2 linked regions of the Danio rerio genome follow. The protein of the gene in region 1 interacts with the protein of each later gene in a pairwise test. Links are inferred from orthologs where the notes say so. Each region holds a gene or a part of one and is shown in the gene's direction. Other genes may lie near its edges.

Evidence for each region. The genes of interacting proteins can lie anywhere in the genome.
Region 2: the proteins of garem (region 1) and grap2a interact in binary tests that used the Homo sapiens proteins (3 or more experiments, as listed by UniProt). The link is inferred for Danio rerio from reciprocal best matches to the Homo sapiens genes GAREM1 and GRAP2.

What each region holds. Positions count from the first base shown.
Region 1 is NC_133182.1:41,687,910-41,691,998, forward strand, and holds the start of garem (GRB2-associated and regulator of MAPK protein 1), read left to right. Parts: upstream 1-1,275; 5' UTR 1,276-1,434; coding exon 1,435-1,555; intron 1,556-2,740; coding exon 2,741-2,881; intron 2,882-4,089.
Region 2 is NC_133178.1:28,191,787-28,195,878, forward strand, and holds the start of grap2a (GRB2-related adapter protein 2a), read left to right. Parts: upstream 1-1,278; 5' UTR 1,279-1,401; intron 1,402-4,092. UniProt on the Homo sapiens protein: Interacts with SLP-76 to regulate NF-AT activation. Binds to tyrosine-phosphorylated shc.

The sequences.
Region 1 (4,089 bases):
TGGGTAGCACGATCGCCTCACAGAAAGAAAGTTGAGGGTTTAAGCCTTGGCTGGGTCAGTAGGCATTTCTGTGTGGAGTTTGCATGTTCTCCCCATGTTCAGGTGGGTTTCCTCCGGGTGGTCCGGTTTCCCCCACAGTCCAAAGACATGTTGTACAGGTGAATTGGGTATGGTGTATGTGTGTGAATGAGTGTGTATAGATGATTGCCAGTACTGGGTTGCAGAGAGAAAGGAACAAACTGTGTAAAACATATGCTGGATAAGTTGGCCGTTCATTCTGCTGTGGCGACCTCAGATTAAGCCGAAAGGTAGAGGAATGAATGAATGAATAAATTGGCTGTCCTATATGGGCGTTTCCTAGTGTTGGGTTGTGGCTGGAAGGGCATCCAATGCATAAAATATATGCTGGATAAGTTGGCGGTTCATTTTGCTGTGGCAACCCCTGATGAATAAAGGGACTATGCTGAAAAGAAAATGAATGAATGAATTCAAAAGTGTGCCAATAAGGTGCAAATAAATTGTACTTAAAGATCAAGTATTTTAAGTGTACTTTATGTATGCTAAGTGAACTTGTATAATAATGTACATTACTAACAAACAATACTATTTGAAACTGAATTGACCCTTTTTTAAATAACCTAACACTATTATTTTAACTTATTAAATTAAAAATGTTACGTCGTTCAAATTGTTAAATAGACTCCTTTATTACTCCAACTTCACTTTGAAGCACAGTAAAACATAATTTTATTTATTTTGCAAGTATAATTGCACATGACGTGACCGTAACACCAAACTTCTAGATTAAATTTTGGCTATTGTTTTTGCTCTAACTTTTCTGTGTTCCTAATTAGACATTAATTTACATGCGATTTGTAACTTAGCCCCAAACTAAATGATAATTTTAAGCAATCCCATCTCTCTTGATGCTTGATTACCAACGTCTCTCTAAAGTCTAATATTGTGTACGTGTAATTTTATGTACATTTCCTAGAGTAGCCTATATAAAATAGGATGTTTTAAGTTTAAGTATAGGATTGCTGTATCAATGTATTTTTGTAAGCGCACTGTTGTATCCAAGATTTGTATTTACGTTGTTTTTAATATCCAGAGGGCGTATTGCTTTATTGAATATTTTTGTATAACCTGTAATATTAAAAATACAGTGCGAATTATGGCGCTGGTTGCCCGAGCAACCGCTGGAGCAACAGGGAAGAGGAAATCGCCGCTCCAGCTCGAGATCGTTACGGTATGGGATACATGGCATTTCCTGTCAGTGTAAATAGACGGTCGGCTGACATGGCTTCACGTACTGTCCACGGCTGCCTCTGAGTAAACAAAAGGGCATTTACCGAAGCTTTCTCCATGACAGAGCCGTTCTTCACTGCAGATGCATGCGGCGGCGGGCTAACGTGCAGATGTTAGCGAGCTAACATGGACCTTGGATCGATGCTGTACAACAGTTTTAACAATATAACATGGAGCACAACGACACTACCCTTGGACAGACTAATTAGTTCCTACAGACTGCCACAGATCGTCAAGTTGGACAGCGGTAAGATTTCTCCGAGTTGTGCTGTGTTTCTGTTGTGTGCGGCAGCTGCGCGTGGGCGGTTGCGCTCCTGTGGAATTCCAATAATTAGCCGCTCCGCGCGCTAAGCTAACGAGACCCTGCACTCAGAAGACACACACACAGTGGACACCTTCAGTCTGTAGGCTTCACCGGCATGCCTTAAACAGCCTACGCCAAGAGCGATCAGTTTAGTTGTTGTTTTGAACCCAGTGAGCACAAACAGTCAAATAAAGGGCGAAAAAGAGAGGCATGGACGTTAGCGAGCTAACTCGAATTAGCCAGAGGCCATAGAGTTAAATAACAAACTGCAGGCAGTCAACCCCCGATCTCAAAACATTTCATTTTAATCGTATAGGGGGGAAAGTTTTTGTTGCTTTCTAACCTCTGCGAACTCGAAGCTAAACTTTAGAAAGAGCTCACACAAGTTTATTTACAGTTAATAGTGAGGTGATTTATATAGACTTGATGAAAAAAAAAACATTTGTGACGCAACAAATCTAGACTTGGCGAAGTTGTTTGGTTATTATCAATGTTTTATCACGTCACTGACAAACTGCAAGAGCTGTGTATTTGAGCTGCGCTCTGATTGTGTGTGTGTGTGTGTGTGTGTGTGTGTGTGTGTGTGTGTGTGTGTGTGTGTGAAGATGGAGGAAGTCATAATGTCAGGGGAGCTAGATCATTATCATTATGGGAACTGGGGCACTATGATTACTCTGAAAAACCCTTATGATCATTATTATGAACAGAAAAGACTGAGCTTAAAGTGATCCGTGATCCATTTTCTCAACTCTAATATTAATTTATGTGTATGCTCTACTTTCAAATACTCCTGTTTTTACATTCCTGTAGCTCAAATAGTTGAACAAAAAAGTGAGCTCAATACTCACAAGGAAGGGAATGATCAAAAGTGCACATGTAAATGTGTTCAATGATATGTGAGTCACTTTGGGCACAATCATGTGCCAATTGTAAATATTGTCAGTTCAGAAATAGGGTCAAATTATACCCTTATAATGCTAGTTCCAACTGCTGATCTTAATATCCGTGTCATTGTGGACTTGGTATTTGTTAGCATATTCTTAAGTACCACTTAAGCTTTTTTTTGACAGAACTCTGTAGTATTAACGTCACCGTTCTATACTGACGTGACATTGTGTTTTGCCTCAGGAGAATCGGTGGAAGGGTTGAGAGAAAATGACTACCTCTTGATTCATTCATGCCGGCAGTGGACCACAATTACCGCCCATAGCCTAGAGGAGGGCCATTATGTCATCGGACCGAAAATCGAGATCCCTGTCCATTATGAGGGTAAGGCCACTCAGCTGTTGCAGTGCAGGATGTACTGTTTGAAGAAACAGCTTTCAATTTTTTTCAAAGCCATTTTGGTTTTTAATAAGAAGGCAAAGGACATGAATGTTAGTCTGCTAGGATAACATTTTGAATTGATTTGAAACAGAAAGGAGGAGGATTTGTTCTGCTGTGTTGTACTGCTTTTTGTTAGAGTTCATTAGCTAATTGGTCTCCATATTGACGTTATTTTGGCTAAGGAGAGGGTCAGTTGACCACTTAAGGTGAAACAAGACCTTCCTTTAAATCTATATACCACGAAAGACATAATCTTTGCAAACTGTCTGTTTTCACCTCTTTCACTATTCAGTTTCTGTACAATTTGTCATAATAGTTAATGGTTTTATTAAATAAATAAATATATTAATTACTTACATGAAACTGGTTTCCCAGACTAAGCTTAATTTCCGTATAAATGAGAGAAACAAGGTGTCTCTCATTTCAGAGGCTGCATCCTCCGATGGATGCATTCGAAGTGCACTGCGTCATCGCGACGTGACGAAGGCTGTCTCATTTCAAAAAAATTCGAAGGCTCCTTCAAACACAGCCTTAAAATGCGCCCTTCGTTTCCCAGATAATAAAGCACACAACATCATAAGATGTTAATATTAGGTTAGATTAACATCCACACAACTTCAAGCTGTAACATCATTAGACGTTGATATTTGGTTGGTTTTGAGTTGGAGTCGGACATTGACGTTGGCCTGACGTTGGGTTCTTCTTATGTCTACCCAATTTTCATTTCCAAACATGCAACATCCCCGGAAAACGTCAATCTGACACCATGTTGATGTCTTTTGCCTGCTGGGTGTTTAAGGCCATTTCGGTCATTATACAGTAATCATCCATCATCATCTTTTAAGTGACATACATCTAAACCAGGGGTGGCCAACCCTGTTCCTGGAGAGCCCCCTTCCTGCATATTTCATTTGCAACCCATATCAAACACACCTGAACCAATTGATTAAGACCTGAACACCACGTGATAATTACAGGCAGGTGTGTTTGATAAGGGCAGCAACTGAAATCTGCAGGAAGGGGGCTCTCCAGGAACAGGGTTGGCCAGCCCTGATCTAAACAATGACTGGGTCAATGCGTGTAAAGATTTTGGTCATCCTCTTGGACACTTTTAATGTTTCCAAACAGTTTGCTGCAATTATAAAAATCGC
Region 2 (4,092 bases), on another chromosome or scaffold:
AACATTATTGAGCATGTCTTTGTAAGATTAAGGAGTGAATCCAAAGAATCTCGATGAATTCTGGGAGTCCTGCAAGAATGCTTTCTTTGCCATTCCAGTTGACTTTATTTATAAGTTATTCAAGTCATTGCAGATATGTATAAATGCAGTCCTCCAAGCTCATGGGAGTCACTCACAATATTAATTCTTTTTCCACTGCACCATGACTTTATATTCTATACTGTACATTATTTCTGTTAAGTGACACAATCTACAATGTAAAAGTGCTATACAAAAAAAAAAAAAAAGGTAAATTGAATTAAAAAAAACTTGGATAGGCGACATGACTTTTGTCAAGTAGTATACAATGTCTCTGATAAGGTATGATTTGTAGAGAGCAAGAGGTTTTATTATTTAAAAAAAATGAATTCACTCTTAGTTCTCTTTGTGGTTTTAAAATGTTGATTAAAAAAACTAACTTGGTAAAACACGACATGGTAAAACTGTTTTGTCATGTAGAAACGTTATTTGTGGCTTGAGGTGTTGGGCTGGTTACTGCAGGTGCAAAAAAAAAAAAAAAAAGGTTTGATCAGGAGGTCTCGATCCTGCTCAAAATATTTCACGAGCACATTATGTGACTTAAAACTTGGACAAGATTAAACCTAAACCAGAAGCAGATTCTTTATATTCCATATTTTAAATGTTTTGGTTGTTGATAAATGCATATACAGGCATGTATTCTTGTTTAGTGTGCGAGAGAGAGAGAGAGAGAGAGAGAGAGAGAGAGAGAGAGAAACCACTTACTACCAGAAAGTTCTTTTCATGCTTCCTGCTGCATGCTTTGCTACAGAACTGCAAAAAAAATGGCCGTTTCATCTGTGTTAAAAAGTTAGATGTTGGACTACCCACAGTATGATGTTATATATACCGTACATATAGTATCAAAATAACATGACTAAATTTAAGACTTGGACTCTAAAACGTTTCAATTTAGCATTTTTTAATAACTTTTTTTTTCTAATATATACATGTAATTAAATCGTAATAAATTGTTTAAAACATTTTTACTTTATAATCGTGACACCAAAACACGGTTCAATTTATATAGAACGAAAAAAGCGGCTATATTTAAAACAATCAAACAAAAAATAATAATAATAACTTAAAAACCCCACTTAACAGTGAATATTTCAAATACTAACACAAGTATGATCTGCAGACTTCCAGCCTTCTTCAGGGCGGAGTCAAAGTTATGCTCATTTTCCCTCCTCTTGTGGGCTGTTGGTGTGCCAAAGCAGCTATACACGGGCACGCGCATGCAGGTAGCGGTAGAAGAATTGAGGGTGAGACACCAAGGAGGTGGCAGTTTATCTGCTGGAGGTTTCTTATCTTTGTTGCTAAACAGCGACACAGCGGTAACAGGTAAAGTAATTAGATTTTTTTTTCCACATAGTTTGTTCAAAAGACTGAAAACTGCTGAGACCAGAAATAGATGTGTGAAGTTGTTTCACAGTTGGTTCACATAGCGTGTGCGCGCTGTAACACTCGGGGGCTTGTTCAATCATCGTGCGCCTTAGCTCTACAACCTTTATCAATTCATGTTTACAGCTGATATCAAAACTCCTGATTTAATGTGTGAATTTGCATAGGTATACTTTATGTATCAAATAAACATCAGCCTACACATTAGTGTTATGTTAATTAATGGATAGTAAAACCTGCTTATATTTTGTACAAATTATTAAATAGATTTATTTTTCTTAATTTTTTCTATAGTTCCAAGTTTTTATAAATTTGCTATTAGGCCTACTCTAGGAATATTGAACAGTGTACACACAACAAATCTTATATGATCGTTTATGAAAACATGTTTTAATATTAATAATAATTTATTAGAATATATTTATTATGTGTCAGCTTAATATGCTTAAAGAAGCTTTTTTAAACCAATTTAAGGTCATTTAAGTTAAAATTACAAGGTTAATTTGATTCAAAGTAATAAAACTTAACCATGTTATTTTAACATGTTATTAAAGAAGTGGATGAATCCTATCTATCTATCTATCTATCTATCTATCTATCTATCTATCTATCTATCTATCTATCTATCTATCTATCTATCTATCTATCTATCTATCTATCTATCTATCTATCTATCTAGATAGATAGATACTGATTGGTACATAGATATTGGCTACTATATCTAAAACAAACACACATAGAATATTTTTGCTGCTTCTTCAAACTCAGACCAATTCTTTATGTTTTTTTTTTTTTTTTGGGACACCTTAATTGTTTTATGTTCAATCAACCTTAAGTTGTAAAAGCCATTGAGTTAACTTGACAAGAAGAGATTTTGTGGTGGAACCCAGCATTTTTTTTACAGTGAAGGAAGGTCTGATATTGAATGTTAAGCCTACGACAGAAGCTCTTTCCCACACCAGTTTCCCCATTTCTAAAAATGCAAAGTTGTAATCGTAATGTCATCGCAATATCAGTATTAATTCTCAAAATACAAATTGCAACATTTAAATGTGCTTTGCTTTTACGTTCGGTAGTAAGTCAGCGCAATCCTTCCCAAAGCTTACATTTGCAAAAGCACTGAGCCTCTGCACATGCAGTAACACAAAGAGACTATCTATCGAGGGAATTGGACTAAAGCTCAGTGTTTATTCAAGAAACAGCTTCCCTCTGTCACAGCAGTCAAATCAGCTTTCTGTGTAAAATGGCTTTTTTGTTTTTCTGTCTTCCTAGTAATGACTGAATCGATTTGCTAATGTTTGCATGAACCCAGAGGCCTGCATTTCAAGGACATATACTTCTTAAAAATGATAACAAATGCAGTCATTACATTAGCATTTTTAATAATTAATATTTTCATATTATTTCAGCCATGATATTATACATGGGTTTGACAGAGTCTGGCATATAATAAAGAACGCATATTTGTACAGTAAAAGTATAGATTATAGAAAGTACACACTGTAAAAAAATATCTGTAAATTGACAGTTTTTCCGTATTTTATGATTCATGTTTTTACCCCACTTATTTAGGCTTTTGAATTGCACTATGGAACCTTGGTCTTTTGGGTTGGTGTTGTATATTATGCTGCAAAAACCTGGTAATAAACTCCCAGGTTCTGTTATTTCACAAACTTAGTTCTCTATATATTACTTCTTAAACTTCTTATTACTTATATTACTTCTTGTCTAAAACTATTTAAATGTCAACAAAAGTTACTTTGTTAAACTGAAGAGTAGAATTTTCAACATCAATTCACAACCGTAAATAAACAGAAAATTCGGAAACTGTTAATTAACAGATATTTTTACAGTGCAGAGTACAGATAAAGTGTAGTAGAGACTAAATACTATGATTTTTTAAAATATATTTTTATTGACATTTAACTACAAAATGTTGTAGTATTTATTTTAACTACAGAAGCTTGAACTAAATACCCCTACACTTTAAAAAAATTCTGGGTTTCACACAATTTCTTCATATTGACCCAATACAAATCGATTAAGTTTACTTGATCATTTTAACAATCATAAGTCGACTGAACATAACACAGTTAAGTTGTCCCCAAAAACTTAAGTATTGTGCTGTTTCAACTCAGGTACACTGTAAAAAACTCAGGTACACTGTTTTTTCTGGCAGCTGGGGTGCCGTTAAATTAGCCTTAAAAAAATTAAACAGACGGTAAATTACAGACATTTACCATAAAATAATGAACGTTAAATTACAGAAATTTCCTTAAGTTTAAATTTCTGGTAAATTTCTGTAATTTACTGTTTTTTATTTCACAGTAAATGTCAGTAATTTAATGGCCGTTATTTAAAAAAAAAAAAATTCCAGCACCCCAGCTGCTGGAAAAAAAAAAGTAAAATAGCAGATTTTTAGTTTTAAAAACAGTTTAGTTTGAACAAGCAGCAAAAGTCTTTTTTTTTCTTTTTTTTTTGTGTGTGTATGTTCAAGCTCTCCAATATGATTTGATTTGATCCGAGACAAGAGCATACTGATAATCAATAAAGCGAGAACATTTGACAGTCATCTTGGCTAAAACAAGGCTAAATTTAGGCTGTCAGTGAAAATCTAATAGATGTCTAAGA